4 linked regions of the Oryzias latipes genome follow. The protein of the gene in region 3 interacts with the protein of the main gene of each other region in a biochemical or structural test. Links are inferred from orthologs where the notes say so. Each region holds a gene or a part of one and is shown on either strand. Other genes may lie near its edges. The genes, in order: flt3, ptpn6, syk and receptor tyrosine-protein kinase erbB-2.

Region 1 (4,468 bases), on a different chromosome or scaffold from region 3:
CTAAAAATGAGGAACTGAGCTATAAAATTTATACTCACTTTGCAGAACATGAAGGACCACAGTCTTTGAGAAAATGGTCATATTGTGACCAGAACAAGTCAGAGTGTACTGGCCTGAATCTGGCATCACCATGAAGTGAGTCTTGTCCCTAAAATGATTAGGACAAAATTCAGTTCAGATTATAAATAAAGAAAATAGAGAAGACTCATCTCATGCAGAGTTTACTTACGAGGTCATTATTGTTTGATTTCCTCTGATCCACCTGCAGACAGGAGAACCAGAGAGGCCGTTGACGTTGATGTTCAGCTCCTTACCGTGTAGCATCGTGATACGGACCATACCAGAAGAATCCTCATAGTCGGATGTGTTAAAGCATTCTGTCTGAAAGACAAAATTCAACAATGTTGGGATTTTAGATAAGAACAATAAAAACTAACTTTGAACTATTTTATATGTTTCCACTGCTGCTCTTACCTGAATACTTGGCACACAGACGTCATTCTCTGCCCCAACGATGCAAAGAGCTCCAAGAAAACACAGCAAGAGAGAAGCTAGGACAGAAGTGGCAACATCTTTTTATTATTATTATTTTTCTTTGTACAATTTTGTTCATAAGCACCATATAAAGTAATACTTGTAGAATAATACCTGTACAGGCTCAGGACCAGACTTGAAATCGGACTGTGTTCAGATCCATTTTTATTCAAATCAAGTTTACATTTACCATTAAATTTTACATGGACTCGGCAATGCTATAAGAAATTATAAATACTTGATGGGTCCCTAAATCATCATAGGTCCACACAAGCACAATTAACCATAACTTAGGCACATTTGACTTGACAGATTTAAAGTGACGATTGAATTTCAGAACTGTTTTGTTGTTAGAAAAACATTGAAAAACATCCAAGAGGTGGATTTAAATATCAGTTGTCTTTTCAATTTGGCAAGAATTGTAAACTAACATGAACTGAAAATGATTCAGTTTTAAATTTTAAAGTAAAAAAAGTGTTTAAAAAATCCCCTATGAATGTAAAATAACAATAAAATCTTTAAGTTACAACTTTATTCAAACTACATCATAAACTGACTGAGATAGAATTAATTTGGAGAACTAAAAATGAAATAAATGTAATACAAATCCATTTTATCATTGGCAATAAACAATCTTTTATTTATGTAAAAAAAATGACAGATTTTTAGAGTCGTTTCAGGTGATATTTGATTTAGTTCTAAATGTTTTATTTACTACTTGGAAATTTAATAAAAAAAACAATTTAAATAAAAAATCATCACGCTTCACAAGGACATTTGCTTTTATTTGATCTGACCTAAATTCATGAATAGTAACAAAACAAGAACAATTTCCACTTTTGTTTTTGATTGGTAAATAAGTTAAACTAGAATTTCTATAGGCTAGTGTTTAATTATTCTTGTTTTTTCACTTTCCTTTTATTTAATTCGCCTTAATATTTGAGTAAATCAGCAGTGGTTGTTAGTAAAGTTCAATAGGAGTCCATTATTTCATGTTTTTCTCTGACTGACTGCAAAAATGGTGGATGTAATATCATTAAAAATGTGTTAAAGTTGGACTTTCAATCAAATCGGGAATTAATAAATAATGGATGATTAATTACTGCTAGTAATCACTGATTAGTATTTTGGGTAGTTTTTTGTTGGGTCTGGTGGTCTTTTGATAACTTTTGGGCTGGAAAACTGTTACTATCTGGCAACACTATCTATCTGCCAATCACTGGTAGAGATTAGATGATGATTCAAAGCAATTTTTAAAAAGTGGTCAGACGAAGCAAAGTGATTCGAGGGGCTGTGAAATATGGAAGCGCTTCCGTAGCGCTTCTCTTGAAAATGCTGACTAGAATTGAATTATGCTACACTTTTTGAGGGGGGATGTGAAAACAAAAATGTAATCCCCTCTTTGTATTTTTGCTTTAATTATGTCACAGAGTGTGCGATGTTGAAGAAGGAAATGAAAAAGCATAATTAAAGGATTGATTTTTAATTTTAATTTTGTGTCATTTCATGCAGTTACATTGTGAAAGTGAAAAAGCATTTCTGTTAATCCATTTTAATTGTCAAATTAGATATTTCTAATTGAATTTTACTACACATTTACCAGAGACCCTTTTGAAAATTAAATGTCAAATACCATTTTCTTTATCATTTTAATTAAGTGATAGAATGAGCTGTGTTGAAGAAGAAAAAGAAAAGGTGGTTTGGCGGATTGCTTTTTCATTTTAATCTTGAGTCAACAAATACAGCTTCAATTTGAAAACAAAAAAGCATTTCTGGCATTGACTTTTATTTTTAGTAATGCTACAGAAGCATTTCTGGGCATTGACTTTTATTTTTAATAATGCTACAGAAGCCTTTCTGGCATTGATTTTTATTTTTAGCTGTGCTATAGAAAAGCTTCTATAAGTTTGTGGAATGCACTGCCCATGCAAGTTAGGCAGGCCCGTTCATTGAATGATTTTAAATCCATTGAAAACTCAGTTTATCTCTCTGGCTTTTAACTCAGTATGAGTTGGGGATTTTATTGATTTTTATTACTTTTGTATTATTTTGTTTATTTTAGATTGTTGCTTTCATTTATCTTTAATTGTTAAACACTTTGGTCAGCCTCTGCTGCTTTTAAAAGTGCTTTATAAATAAAGTTGACATTTCATATATGTAATGTTTTTCCAAGTAAGAATAATGTATATACTATAAAATACATTTCTTAAACGTGATTTCAGTTTTTTAAAGCTCATCAAAACATTTGGATTCTTGATATATTTAAAAGAGGACCAGTACATAAGTTATTCTATGTTTTGTTTTTTTTTTGTTTTTTTGAAAAAATGATAAATACAACCACTGAAGAGGGCCCCATGTTATTCTTCACCTGGGGCCCCAAAACTGCTAAGTCCGCCACTGATTATAATGCCCAAATTTACAGCAGTACTCACTGGCAGTCGAAGCTATCTTGATCCACATCATCTTGCTCTCCGTTATTGGAGTCACATATTCTGAGGGGAGTTGAGTTGCGGATTGTCTGCATGCAGAAGTGTGCAACAGTGTTTTTAACAGAGGAAGTATGGCTGGAAATAACGCCTCACTTAAAAAAAACTGTTAAAAACACACCCTTAAGTATTAACATGGCAGGTTTTTTTTTTTTTTTTTGGAGCTTCTGTCCTTGAAGACTGTTGCGCTTGTTTCAGATTCAGAAAACATGAAAGACTTTTATTTTGAAAAATAAAAGTGTTACTAGTTTTTAATCGTATACATATTTGAAAAGTTATTTCCTCACAAACATTACATTTAGTGAAAAACCATGAAAAAAGGAACAAAAACATAGAATGTTTTGAATTATTATAAATTTGTCATTTTTTTCGACTTTGTCTTTGAATGGTTTCCAGTTTTCTTTGTATAATATTCCAACCTTACAATAATAGTATAAATTATTACTATTTTTAGTTTTGAACAACTGAACATACATTTTTTGTCAGACCGGGTGTTCTTTTAAATATCTGATTTTTTAACGTGAAGCATGCATTTGCAGCAGGTGAACGGTACCCAGAATGCAAAGGCATGTTAGCTGCAGCTTTGCGGCCAGACTGGAGGCTCAAAACAACAACAACAGGCTACTTTGTAGGGGCAGCAGCTGCATGGATAGCCCGGAACCCCGAGCATATAAGCATCTTTTCCTCAAATCGAAATACACCCTAGCTTTATAATGTAAGTGTCGCTAAAGTATGGGTTTTTTCATCGGCTAAAGCAAATTAAATCTAGTGTTTTGGGGGGAAACTGTTCAAAGCTTGCTAGCTAGCACGCTAGCTCCCTGCGTCTCTATGTTCGAGTGTCTTCCGGCAGCAGTGGCGGCAGCAGCGGTGCCATGAACAGTGGACTTCCACCCTCAGCTGCTCCGCTTGGGGGTGCCGGACTACCTAATGTTAAGGTGAAGTTTTGCCGCTACTACGCGAAGGACAAAACGTGCTTTTATGGAGACGAATGTCAGTTCCTACACGACGATCCGTCCTTGGCAAACCTGCCTCTTCACGGCGGCGGAGGTAGCCCGGTTCCCTTATCAATGGCCGGCAGCGGAGGGACGCCAGCGGTGTACTCCATTGGCGGCACGGCTACAGTCAGCGGAGGGACCGTGGTGTCAAAGAAGAGCGAAACGGTGGGGCCTGCGGGAACGTCCCTGGAAGGGCAGCTGCTAACCAGTGAGTACAAAACAGTAACCCCTCGCACAAGATTCCTGACTGACCTTACCTCATGGCCCAGTGGGGGAATTTCATAAGATAGCCCGAGGATTCTGTTGGCCTCTTTACAACAAAACGTGGTTTCTGTCTGCAGAACCATAACCCTTCGGCTTGCAGCTTGACATTCCCGCTGTTAAAAATTGATTTGTGACTTGTTTAGTCTTCACATCAATAGTAAGCCATATATAATAACATAAATGGTGAAA
Region 2 (4,665 bases), on a different chromosome or scaffold from region 3:
TTTCTCCCCTCCGTACAGGTCATAGTAGTCACCTGTGTTCTGGATGCGGATGTGGGTCACTTGATCACCCACCCTGGAGAGGAAAAAACAAAAACACCAAGGCCACACCAAGAAAACTGTTAACGGTTTCTTTGTGATGGCAGCAGGTACAAAAGCACCAGGTGAGGACTTTTATACTCAGTAAACCGACATAAACGTGATGGTCCTTTTCAGCCTGGCTACAGCTGCGAGCTTATCAAATATCGAAGTCAATCGATCCTATTAAAAGATTTTTGGCAGCATGTGTAACAACAAATTTATTTTCCATATTTTTAAGCTCAACTTGGGCGGCCAAAGGAGGAGAAATATTAGAAAAATGCGGCTTTAGCATCGGAATAAATAAAAAATCAGATTTAATAGACAATTTTACAAACAAAAATAACATTTTTGGTTCATCAAACTGTCGATCAAGCTTTCAGACTCTTTTTTTTTTTTTTTTTTTTTTTTTTTACATAAAAACATGTTTTTTCTGTTAGAATTATTGTTTTTTAATCCAAATGAAAGGATAAGAATTAACCAAAATGCATTTTTTTCTAAGAAAGTGGCCTTGGGAGTAAGTAGATCATTTAGAGCTGTGCACTTTTTCACACAAAATTGGAAAGTGCTAACTGTTTTCACAAAGTGGAGCTTGGAAAGGGATCTTTTGCTGTAAGAAGTTACAGATAAGACATCTAAAATGAGCAAATCTGACTAATTTTCTGCTGTTGTTCAAAGAAGATGCAACCACGTCTTTTGGAGTTCTGTAACAACCTTTTTTTTCAATCCGCAAAGTTTTATAAATTATAAGAATCGCTTCCATTGCTGCTACTTTTACTCACTTTAAGAAAAGGCCTCCAACAAAACTGGCATGTGTGCGTAGATCATTCGCATCAAAATATAGGCCCTGGCGGGAGCCTGCAGCTCTCAGCTTATTTTCTTATCATCAAATAAAGGCTGCAAAACTTGAAAGAAGTTTTGCAGATGCAGCTCATGTGCTGCATCTGTTCACACCAGACATTACCTGACAGACAGGGAGAAATCTCCAACGTTTTTCTTGCTGGGTCGAGCTAAAAAGCTTCCGTCAATGCCTCGCAGCTTCAGTATTTCCTCAGCCTGCAGGCCTGTGATGTCTCTGTGGAACCACCTGGATCGACGCACAAAGATAGAAAAGATGAAGCACAACAACATTGACCTAGTAGAAGGCATACATGTGTCACATAGATTTAAAATGTACAGCTTTAAATAGACCAAGAAAATCCAGGTGCACGCATACGCAAAAGAGAGATGGGAGTTTCTCGACAAGATCAGGGGTGCAAGAAAGTGTAAAGATGGAGAGAAAAGCTGTACTTTTTAATAAAAGAAGGGAAGAAATTCAGGTGATGATCTTTTAAACATTATTAGGTTTCATTACAATCTTGAGTAGATTCTTTGTAAAAATCCTCAAAATCAACATATTCATTTTTATATTTTTTGTTTTAGAGTCTCAAACATAAATAATACTAAGGCAGAGGGTGACTTTAACGTGATAAATTAAAGGTTTTATTAAAGCCTTTGGTTTCACTGGCCTAAGAAAGATAAAAGACAATTTCATGTGATGAACCACAGTCCAAATCCTTGATCCAATAAGGGTTTAACATAAACCTTCAGAAACTATTTTCACTTTACCTACATGCAATTTGTTGATCATCAGGAAAACAAAGCGTGCATTAGGGCATAGTCAGTAATGCTGACGTACTTTAATAAATTATGTTGCTTTACAGCCTTATTAGCTAGACGAATAACCAGGTTTTTAAAATCTGACATATTGCACAAAAAAGGTTAATAACTGTTTTCGAACACATGATCTGTCTGACACTGTGGAGCTTTGAGGAAACAACAGAACTGAAACCTAAACACTTTATTTATGTCCCAGTCTCTTATACTGAACTTGCAGGGTTTAGCTGACGAGGGATCACAAATGACATGACAGAAGAGGAGCAGGACAGGCCAGCAGCAGGGAATAGACAAAAGGAGGAATGGAAACAGAGAAGTTGTTGCACAAAACACAAAGAACAAAACCAGAGTTTGATGTGTCCGGCAGAGGCTTGACTCACCGAACCATGGCGTCTCCTCACTTTTTCTGGGACTAAAGAGAAGAAGAGCGATTTGGGAAGAGTCGCTTGTTCCTGCGGCACATGTGTAGACTCAGATCACACACTTTGGCGTTGAAAGTTTGTGTAGTTTTTGCAGCTTCCTTACTTTTGGTCTACTTGAATTGTACATTTACCGCAAACACATTTGGTATGTCAAGCGCTAACTTGACCTTCAACTTAAGATATTTTTATCAAGAATCAATTAAATCTAATTGCCTTTGCTCTCCCTCTGGTGTAACACATTAACTTAATACCCACCCCTGCCCCGCCACCACCCACCAGCGGACCGCCGCTGACCCCGGTTCTCAGTCTTCCCTTCAACAGCAAAAGCAGGTAAACACTTACTCTCCTCAGCTGCTCCTGAAAACAACTGACACTGGTCGAGACGTTGACGCTGTATGTGTCTGTCTCCCCTCCTCTGCGTCGTGCTCATACGCTCTCCCCTTCCTTCCTTTCTACGTCTCCTTTCACAAAGTAGTGAAAGCAAGACAGGAACCAAAATAGCTGACAGGCCGGAATTCCTCAAGCAGATAAAGATGGTGTCTTTTTTTTTTCTTTTTCTTTTATTGATGACCAAAATAAAAACGTTGCCAATCTAAGAGCAGAGAAGGCTTCAACTCCATCACCTCCGTCTTCTGGAAAAACAGCTGCAGAGCTTCTTTAGATGACTCCTCTGTTCAGAGCTGTGAGACAACGGCAATTCCAACAGGCGTATGGTTGAAAAACACCCTCCAAAAAGGCAGTTCCATCTCCTCATCAATGCACAAATATGCCCGCTCTTTGTCTAACAGAAAGTATTTGCAAAGTTTCCTCCACCTGTCGGCTGAATCTGCCCTCTGTTCTTTACTTCCAGGTGTGTACGAGTGTGCGAAACACAAAGGTCAGAACAGAACACTTCCTCATTTGAACCTTCCCCCCTCTGCATGTGTGAGGCTGCATGTGTGCGTGTGCTGCTGCAAGCTGATATATCATGTGCTGTTGTCAACTGTTTTAATTTAAAGAACGCCGATCCAGCACCTTGAAAATTGCTGCTTTATCCTTATACGGAGTAAATTATCTGCAGCCACAAACACAAAGTACATATTGTGACTTTTAGGGGAGTTTTTTGTATCCCTAAAAACAACACAAAAATTTGCGTAGAAGCAAATGCACAACAAATGAAAATGCAAATACAGTAGCAATTATTTCATGAATTCCTCACAACCAGATAGCATGTAAGTGGAAAATAATGGTTTCCTACATGAGGTGTAAAATCGTTCAGTGACTAGCGGACTTTGGTGGTTTTATGTGTTTGCAGCAAAAAATTAAAGGAAAAAGTGAATAAGTGTGTAGTTTCTAGTACATGGTGCAGCTCTCCCCGCCCCTGCACCAACAAACACACACATGCAGCCCTGCAGGTGTCGTCGGGGTTAACGCCCGCTATTGTTGTTTGCATTATTTGCCTCACTTGCGCTTTGCAGTCAGACTTGGTTTGGGGTCTCTTTGTTTCTCAGATGTTAAGGCTTCAAATCTCAGACAAAGGCAGACGTTTTTCACACACGTATAGAATGGCTGTACACCTACAGTGATGGAAAAAAGGTTCCTGATTTGATCTTTTCACTTGGGCTATCAGGTTTGCTTGCACTGCGCTGCAAACTGATACTTTGAGCATTTTCTGCCTCATAAAAAAGGTGAACAGAGAAACATCTATAGTTTGTTGATCTTATTAAATGAACCAATCAGTAGGAATAGAATTGATTGAGTGCATGTTTTTTCTTCAGGGAAAAACAACTCCTTTATTTTGATTTTAGATATTTAGTTACTTTAAGCCCTGCAACAAATTGGCTGCTTCTCCAGGGTTTATCCAACAGTAACAGGGATAGGCTCCAACAACCCTATGACCCTGAAAGGGATTCAGCAGGTTCAGAGAACTGATGGATGGATTGTAGCTTTGAAGTCGGTTTAATGGTTGTTGTTACTTTAAATGTTATTGTTGCTTTTGATGTTTAAAAGTCTGAATATCATATTTAAAATGCTGCTATAAACAGCTGCTTGATGGAGAACTGAATTTGAATTGTGCCAGTTCCTGGCAAGCTAAGTAGCAGCTGTGCTAAAAACAAACAGCTATCTTTGGAAACATGGGCCCTATAATACAAAGCAGTCTGGAAAGTTGACGACTGAAGATAGACACCAAACTTTCTAAAACGCCGAGGGTCATTTTTTATGGAGAGGAGGATGTAGGCTTACTGAAGAAATGCCAGACGGAACCAGCTATTAGGAAAACAATTGAAAGCATTGTCTTCTTTGTTTTTCTCCTTCCTGTTCTGGGAAAGCGTTTCTCAACATAATTAACACCAAAATAACTCTAAATGAGTTTCTAAACTTATTTAGGACACACACAGGCGTCTCCTTCAACAGCGCTCAGACTCTTGGTTTTTAGTTTTTATTAGCTTAGCAACCACCAGGTGGCCTGATCCAGTGCTTTTGTATGCCGGTCCCAACTCAGGGCAAATGCAGACGGTTGTGTCAAAGAGGG
Region 3 (3,908 bases):
ACCTTTAGTCTAATCTGTGCTAAAAAGGTCATTTATACGTATGAATGTAATCATTTTTATCCTCAAAATTACTGTATTTACCACATTTCCTGTTCATTTTACAGCTCACGCAGGCTTGTGCAATCCCATGCAGACTGGGTTGCCTTTGGCTTATTCAGCATATGCTAATAAATTTAACACTTTATTAAATAGTTTCTATGCATCTTTTTACGTGTCATCGCTTTCCATTTAACAGTTATTCTTTCATGTTTGTCTGTTGTTTCTTTAATGGATCCGACATAAAGCTGCACTGAAAAAACACAGAAGGTGAGGTAAGCAGTAACTTGGCCTCAATTATATTATAGAGGGTGTTTGTGGGCTCACGCTGGTCTGGAGTCAGTATTCTGCTTCGCTCTGGCTGACAAAAATGCTGGATAAAATGTCATTAAGAAATGTCTCAAAGTTGGACTTTCAATCAAAAAAATAAAAAATCAACGTTGAACTGACACATCTGTATTCAGACTGAGAGACTTCTGAAATTTCTGATAGAGGGTAAGGAGGACTTTTATGCAAAAGTCACAGGCTGTTACCCAGACGGAGAGACATATGGACTTCATTGTGTTGCACACAGCCTGAAAACATATAAACACAGAAAAACGGCTTAAATTAAAACCAGTTTTAGTGGTTTTCAACCTAGAGGTCTCTTCTGAAGACAGAAAACTGTGAAATCTGCTAGAAGCTATTGGCTGCAGAGATAACCCCCCAGCCATGCCAGCGATGTTCACACCTGCTCAGGTAGGATGCTGCGTTGTGGTAACGTCATCATTTAAAGGACCGGAACCAGAAATTCACACCTCACAGAGACCGCCTCTGAGTCTTCCTCATCCGTTCAGAACAAAGGATGAGAGAAACAAACAAACGTCCAAACTGAACTTATCGCTCTTCAAAATCAAACTGCCCCCCCCCCACCATCATTGGGTTGCAAGGACGGCAGATGAAGATGCAGTTCAGGATCTGGAATCTGGAATCTGAGCGCGCTCAGTCGCTCTTTCTGACTGGCTGTTTTTTTAAACCTTTGCGTCAGAATACAGTAGAAATGTTCTATTTCTGTTATCTCCGGGTTCCTGTTCTTTTACTTTCGGTCTGGGCTATTGGGCAATTAAAAACCTCCAACAAAAGCTGTGTTTTGAGATGTGGGCTGGGTCAGCGGATCTCAGCAAAGTTCAGCTTCTTTCTCGTGAAGGAACTGATTCCCAGAACAGACAGATTCAGGAAGGCTTCTGACAGAGCGGTTCTGAGTTCATGTTTTGACATAAACGTCTTCAAAGAGGGGACCTCTGCTGCAGCCAACCGCCGATCAGGAGACTTTAAAGTTCACATACGTTCACTGTAGTCTCTGCCTTTCACATTTGATGATTCATCGATGGTTGGGGTTGGATCGTGCCCTCACAGGTTGGTGAAACGCTCGAGCAGTGAGGAGTCAAATGAGCCAAACGTGTTTGCAGGACTCCATACTGGTCTGTCTTCAGCAGATTAGTCTAGGTGTGATGAAGCGTGGAATCAGAGTGGAAGGTGGACAATACGCTTTGGCCAGCCATGGAGACATCTGTGACTACTCCAGTCTCCTTCCAGGAGTTTACATGTCAGAGACCACAAAGGCGTGCAAAATAGTGATCCGTTATAACCTGACAGTGTGTCCCAGAGGACAGAGGGAGGAGCCACCAGTGCAGCCTGAGACTCAGACAAATGGGGATCAGATCAGGAACAACAGAAACAGTATGGGAGCCAAGCGGGCTTAGAGATCCACCAGCCCGCCTGAACACCTGGATCCTCAGGCCATCATAGTTTATTGATTACTTGTTTACAATCTCTCACCACCTTTCTGAAAAGATGCTTCAGAAACAGAAAAACAACAGATTTCTGAACAAAGGATCCCTGCCAGGCAAACTCACCCTTAGGTTCCAGGTCTGCTTCACGTACTCTCGGATCAGCTTCTCCTTCAGGTCCTCAAAGGGTCCAACTTTGGGCTGCATGTTCTTGGGTCGGTTGCAGGGCTTCTTCAGGAGACACACCAGGCCGTCTGTCTCCTGGGAGTGGTGGTCAATCACGTCCACGGGGCTCCTGTAGCTCTTGCCTCCAGCGATGGCGTACGTCTCGTTGGGCTTTTTCTCGATGGTGTAGTGGTAGCAGTGCTTAGCATTGGCGACAGAAAGGGCAAAGCCTCCCAGGTAATTCCGGCTTTGCCGTAACAGGTACAGCCCGTTGCTCATGCCTGCCTGCCGAAGGTAGTCCTCCGCCTCCTCCCTGGCGATGTTGCCGTAGAAGAACGGCAGTGCGTTGACAGCGTCAGCCATCTTGGCCGTTGGACACTTGTCTCCTCACAAAACTAGGCCACCAGGATGAAGTGTCCCTGAGAAAACAAGAAGGTCACCTTGAGTTACAACTGCAAAATCTGAAAGGAGAAGCTAAAAAACAGATAAAAGTTGTTCTTTACTCCAGAAACAGGGACACTCAAGCAGGTGATGCTGGTATCGCCTGCTTTTAGAAGCAAAACAATTGTCTTTACTTTTGTCAGGTTGATGTCAGTAAGCTGCTGTAGTTTTTATAAACAGCAGTTTATATGAATCGTTCCAACAAAGACACTTGAAGAAAGTGTGTTTAGTTCTTTTTGTTAATTCTGTCCCGCAGCAGACCTGGACCACAAAGACCAGATTGCTTTTATTAATTCTTCTTTCTTACTGCAGCTTTCATACTTACTCAAAAACTCATCAACATTTTCATAAATCTAGAAAACATAGACAATGAATTTTAGGCATTGTAACCCCCCCCAATGAATAAATCACAGCAGAAGGAAACAACAAAAGATGAATTAGCCAAAATCTTTTATAGGTCTCCAAAAAATATTTCTAAATCCTATATTGAAAACCAAAACAAAGGGAGTTTTGTAATTATCATGAGATGGCCGTGGGACCTACGGCCGTTGACTGTATATGAGAACTGGACTAAGTGACCCCTCCACCCCGTGTTCCAAACAGGAAGTACCCGCTGGTTCCAAAAAAGCTGAAATCTAATAGACTTCAATAGAAAAAGAAACAGCTGTAATCAGTCATTCTATTGGTCAGAATAACCATTCTCACTCTGACACATCTTTTTAACATATTCTGGATAATCCTAATTTTTTTAATGATATTTTTGCTGCAGTAAAAGTCATTCAAGTAACAAACTGACCAATCAGATGCCTCATTAAAAGAAGGTGGCCTCACATTGAATGTTCAAAGCGTTTGATTTCCGGATCCTCCTGATCCTGCTTTCAGTGGAAAGGGTGAGGCCTTCTAACATGCTCACTACTGACTGGAGAGAGTGGTTGCCATGGAAATATAGACTAAGATCGACATGGAGCACTTGGAAATGGAGCTTACTGACGACGTCTGGTTCATGTCACAGACAACATGGCGGCAGACATATCGTGAAAAAATGGCGACTGAATTGACTCGAATTGAATTGATTTGGTTGGAACCGGGGGTTAGGCATTTTTCAATGGGTGAAGTCTCACTCGCTCAGTCCAGTCCTCCATATACAGTCAATGGTTCTAAGGCTTGGTGACCATTGTGGTGATATTTCAGATTTTCCACAATATGGGAAAAATCGATCTTCACACACACACCACCAGCTTAAGTCTACAACAACGCCCAAAGTTTTGTTGACCTTTGACTTCTGGAAGAGGCCATGGTCTTGAATTTAAAAAAAAACCTTTAATACCCTCTACAAATTGAAACTCCTCCCAGGGATTTCGACCTATCGCCTCCTAACTCTTCGAGCATCATTGGGAAGCTACTTTAGAAAAAATGTTGGAATTAGAAGTTGTGTGTGTGTGTGGGGGGGGGGTGGCATTCCCCGTTGCACATTTTTAACCAGAATATTATAAAAAT
Region 4 (3,908 bases), on a different chromosome or scaffold from region 3:
CCCAAACAGTCACTCCTATCATTTCAGAATTTGTATATTAATAACAATAAAAATAACACTACTTAACTTTATTTGATATTCATTATATTTAATTTATCTGTGTATGTGCTGTATGCAATCCTGCAAAAACAATCTATTTTGATCATGAGTAATTAAAATGTCAAGAAAATGGCATAATCTTCTTTCATCTTTGTTAATTGTCTAATGAATAAATTACTTGATATCTGAAATGGGTTTGATATATTTTATAATGTTTTGCTGGTACTACTGCATTATTTTTAATGCTTGAAATAAATAAAAATCCAATTAAATCAAATGTAGGATTTCCTTTCTGTGAACATTGTCATTAAAACTGGAAGAAGTGAGTCTGACCGTAGCTCCACACGTCGCTCTGATGAGTGAACCTTCTGTGCATTATTGACTCCAAAGCCATCCATTTAATGGGTACCTGGAAATACGGAAACACCACTTTAAACATAGAAGTGAAGAAACTATGAAGCTACGTACACACTGGGTGTGTGCATTGAAGCACGCGCTAAATGTTTAGCTCATGTTGTTCACACTGGACAAGCAGGGAGGGGCTTTTTCTACCGTTTACTAGTCCACCACCTACAGCTGGAAGAGGCTTGGTGTGAAATGAAAGACTTGGCGTCATATCATTCCAGTCGGGCAAAAAACAAATTATTATTTCTCCAGCATGATCTATTTTCAAACGGCTGGCACTTCCGGGAATTAAAAGGAATACCATCCATACGTCGCTCAAGTTCAACCTGGTTTAACTTTCAACGTGTTCAATGGACGGGCGTTTAAAACATGAAGCCTGAAAACAGTTGTAGAAACTTACGCCTGTTTCCACAGACAATAGTCAATATCCTTTATATTGACTTTTCATCGGAAGCGGCTGCTTGAATGCACGTCTTTATTTTAAGCAATCCAAATCAGCTTCAAACTTAAAAACCTGGCATTTTGGGTCTTTTAGACCATTTTGTTCATTAAAAAAGTGTCAGGTTTTGATTGAAGGGCTGTGGGAAAAAAAAGGTTATTTTTATTGCACACAACACTTCAGCCAATTTTAATTGACCCAACTTGGTAGAAGCAATCTTGTGACTGGATGTAAAAAGGCAAAGACAGTAGAGAAAACAGGTAGAAAACAGCCAGTAATCAATTACTTCCAGATTGATTTTATACCAACATTATCTTGTTTGTATCAGTGTATTTTAACAGATACTGCTGTTTTTTCCACACACACACACGTGTTTGTTTTACCTTCCCTCCATCAGCATGATACTCGGTCTCGTCTATATCGAGCAGACGGGCCAGACCAAAGTCCGTGATCTTCACGTGGTTCGGGTTCTTTACCAGAACGTTGCGGGCGGCCAGATCTCTGTGGACCAACCGGATGTCCTCCAGGTAACTCATGCCCTTCAGACAAACACAGACTCGTGACGCCACACAGCAGCTGTGAGAACAGGAAGCACCTAAACTGTCCGTTTCCTCGCTTTGTACCTTAGCGATCTGGACACACCAGTTCAGGAGAAACTGCGAACCGATGCAGTCCTTGTTCTCCCGGACGTAATCCAGGAGACAGCCGTACGGCATCAGCTGAGTGACCAGCTGCACGGTGGAGGTCAGACAAATTCCCAGAAGGCGACAGACGTAGGGGCTGGTGACCCCCGCCATCACATAGGCCTCCTATGGGGGGGGGGATAAAAGAACAGTGAACTGGACTCTAGCGAGCTGTGCCTATGAAGGTGTTTGCAGAGTGTTTACTCACATCCAGGATTTCTTTGTTGGCCTTTGGAGAGGTGTTCTCCCGCAACACCTTAATAGCTACAGGTATTTTAACAGTTTCCCCTTCAGGAGTCCAAACGCCCTAAAAATGTTTGAAAAATGATCAAAAACTTTGGCTGCAAATCTACATTTTCCTACAAATTCAGATTTGCTGCCAGAAAACTCACCTTGTGGACGGTGCCGAAGGCCCCTGCACCCAGAACCCTCAGCTTCTTCAGCTCGGTCTCCTTCAGGATGCGCATCTGGGCTTGGTTAGGAGATGCGCCACTGGGAGTCAAAGGCTCTACTAGCTGCAAAAAAAAAGTCAGAAAAACACCCCCTTCAGGATCTGGCTTCAGCAAAGCTACAACAACTCCCATCTCTGTCGCTGCTCACCTCCTGCTCCTGCAGGTACCTCCTCACCGTCTCCTTCCTTTTCAGTTTACTCTGTCGCCTCAGATAGAAAACCAGGAGAGCCAGAAGGATGAAGAAGAGGACCACTCCACCCACTGCTGCTGCTATAGTAGTGCCAGGTCTAAAAAAGAAAACACGTTTTGTTTCGCTTTATTAAAAAACATGAGAGGTTCAAAGAGGAAAAACATTTGAAAGTGACGAGTTTACCCTGTCCTGGTGTCAATAGGGCAGCCCCGCTCATCCTTCACTGAGCAGCTGAAACTGAAAACAACTCCACATGAATCCCCTTCTCTGTCTTAAAGAGGCGTTTGTGCCTTCAGATGAGGGTTTGCTTACGAGAGGGTGCAGTTAGTGTTGCATGGCAGACAGTGGCCGGTAGCGTTGCTGTATTTCCATATGGTCTGATGTTCCTCCTTCACACCACTCGGACACTGCTCCACACAAACCTTTCCGTCCCGGAAGTGTCGACACTCCGTACAGTCCTCCGGACCCTGGAGACGCACAAGCAACATCGAACAATCTAAAGTGGCTAAAAATATCATCATGTTTCTGATGAGTTTCCCCACCAGAGATTATTTTAAAGATTCAGAAAAAATTCCCACCACTTTGGGCGCTCTTTGGAGTCAACATAAAAAATGCAACAACCTCCTGAAAAATCTGACAGCAGCTAAAATCTCTGAGCCCCTAGAATTCATCACCAAGCTCCCCCCAATAATAGTTAGAAAGACTAACTACCGTATGTTCCGGACTATAAGTCGCACCGGAGTATAAGTCGCACCAGCCCAAAAATGTATTATAAAGAAGAAAAAAACACAGATAAGTCGCACTGGACTATAAGTCGCATTTTAACTTTCACAACCTTATATGACACAATCATAGCAGACTGTTTATCTAATAATTTCACAGTAATTTTTTCTCAAACTTATTTATTTATTCCTTTCATGAAGCATCATTGGCCAACTAATACTCTGTTTTCATCCTGTATTTGTAGAAACAGTTGTCATTTTTATTGCATTTCTGAATCTATGAAATCATTGGAAAATAGAATATTATGTTGTTAGCCTTCAAGATCTTACTGTAAAAAAAAGTTTGCTGATTCTCTGAGTCACTTAACATCCTCTTAACACTTAACATACCTCATACATCAAATTGACCCAGGAACATCATCTCTGTTACTCACATATGAACATAACAGGAGGGTTAACAATGTATTTATTTCAATTTATTTCTAATATAAGTCGCTTCAGAGTATAAGTCGCACCCCTTGCCAAACTATGAAAAAAAGGGCGACTTATAGTCCGGAAAATACGGTATTATTAACCAAAAATGAAGAATAGAAATGAAGGATGTCAGGAAAAGTGCTCATGGATGCGAGTTGTAGAGCTGCTGAAGGCTCAAATACAAATAAAGAAAAGAAAAACACGAGGCTGCCATTTCTACATTCAAAACTAGAGAGAAATGTCCACAATAATAAAGAGTCAAAACATGAGGAGACGTTTTAAAATGAGTTCACACAAAACCTGTGATGTCAGTGATGTCACACAGGTGTTTTGGGTTTGATTGGATCAAAAACAAACTGGGCTAAAAACACAAAATCTGTCTCAAAATTCAATCAAAATACTCCTAAATGTGTTTTATAGAGCAATAAAACATCTAAGTGCGGCTGCATACTGGTTGCAATTGATTTCTAAATCACATTATTAAGAAGGAACAAACAACAGCAA

The links.
Region 1: of the proteins of syk (region 3) and flt3, one has a biochemical effect on the other in vitro, tested with the Homo sapiens proteins (2 studies listed by IntAct, with this or other methods). The link is inferred for Oryzias latipes from reciprocal best matches to the Homo sapiens genes SYK and FLT3.
Region 2: of the proteins of syk (region 3) and ptpn6, one has a biochemical effect on the other in vitro, tested with the Homo sapiens proteins (2 studies listed by BioGRID). The link is inferred for Oryzias latipes from reciprocal best matches to the Homo sapiens genes SYK and PTPN6.
Region 4: the proteins of syk (region 3) and receptor tyrosine-protein kinase erbB-2 form a complex in vitro, tested with the Homo sapiens proteins (2 studies listed by BioGRID and IntAct, with this or other methods). The link is inferred for Oryzias latipes from reciprocal best matches to the Homo sapiens genes SYK and ERBB2.

Annotation. Positions count from the first base shown.
Region 1 is NC_019878.2:17,428,104-17,432,571, reverse strand, and holds the start of flt3 (receptor-type tyrosine-protein kinase FLT3), read right to left. Parts: upstream 3,099-4,468; 5' UTR 2,998-3,098; coding exon 2,967-2,997; intron 552-2,966; coding exon 475-551; intron 382-474; coding exon 230-381; intron 149-229; coding exon 39-148; intron 1-38. Other genes in the region: PAN2-PAN3 deadenylation complex subunit PAN3, read left to right, coding at 3,893-4,223. UniProt on the Homo sapiens protein: Tyrosine-protein kinase that acts as a cell-surface receptor for the cytokine FLT3LG and regulates differentiation, proliferation and survival of hematopoietic progenitor cells and of dendritic cells.
Region 2 is NC_019874.2:20,377,446-20,382,110, forward strand, and holds the start of ptpn6 (tyrosine-protein phosphatase non-receptor type 6), read right to left. Parts: upstream 3,014-4,665; 5' UTR 2,496-3,013; intron 2,184-2,495; 5' UTR 2,120-2,183; coding exon 2,112-2,119; intron 1,163-2,111; coding exon 1,040-1,162; intron 74-1,039; coding exon 1-73. UniProt on the Homo sapiens protein: Tyrosine phosphatase enzyme that plays important roles in controlling immune signaling pathways and fundamental physiological processes such as hematopoiesis.
Region 3 is NC_019870.2:27,545,977-27,549,884, forward strand, and holds part of syk (tyrosine-protein kinase SYK), read right to left. Parts: intron 2,390-3,908; 5' UTR 2,334-2,389; coding exon 1,932-2,333; intron 1-1,931. UniProt on the Homo sapiens protein: Non-receptor tyrosine kinase which mediates signal transduction downstream of a variety of transmembrane receptors including classical immunoreceptors like the B-cell receptor (BCR).
Region 4 is NC_019877.2:7,404,804-7,408,711, forward strand, and holds part of receptor tyrosine-protein kinase erbB-2, read right to left. Parts: intron 2,676-3,908; coding exon 2,521-2,675; intron 2,446-2,520; coding exon 2,392-2,445; intron 2,306-2,391; coding exon 2,167-2,305; intron 2,082-2,166; coding exon 1,959-2,081; intron 1,874-1,958; coding exon 1,775-1,873; intron 1,693-1,774; coding exon 1,507-1,692; intron 1,423-1,506; coding exon 1,267-1,422; intron 449-1,266; coding exon 373-448; intron 16-372; coding exon 1-15. UniProt on the Homo sapiens protein: Protein tyrosine kinase that is part of several cell surface receptor complexes, but that apparently needs a coreceptor for ligand binding. Essential component of a neuregulin-receptor complex, although neuregulins do not interact with it alone.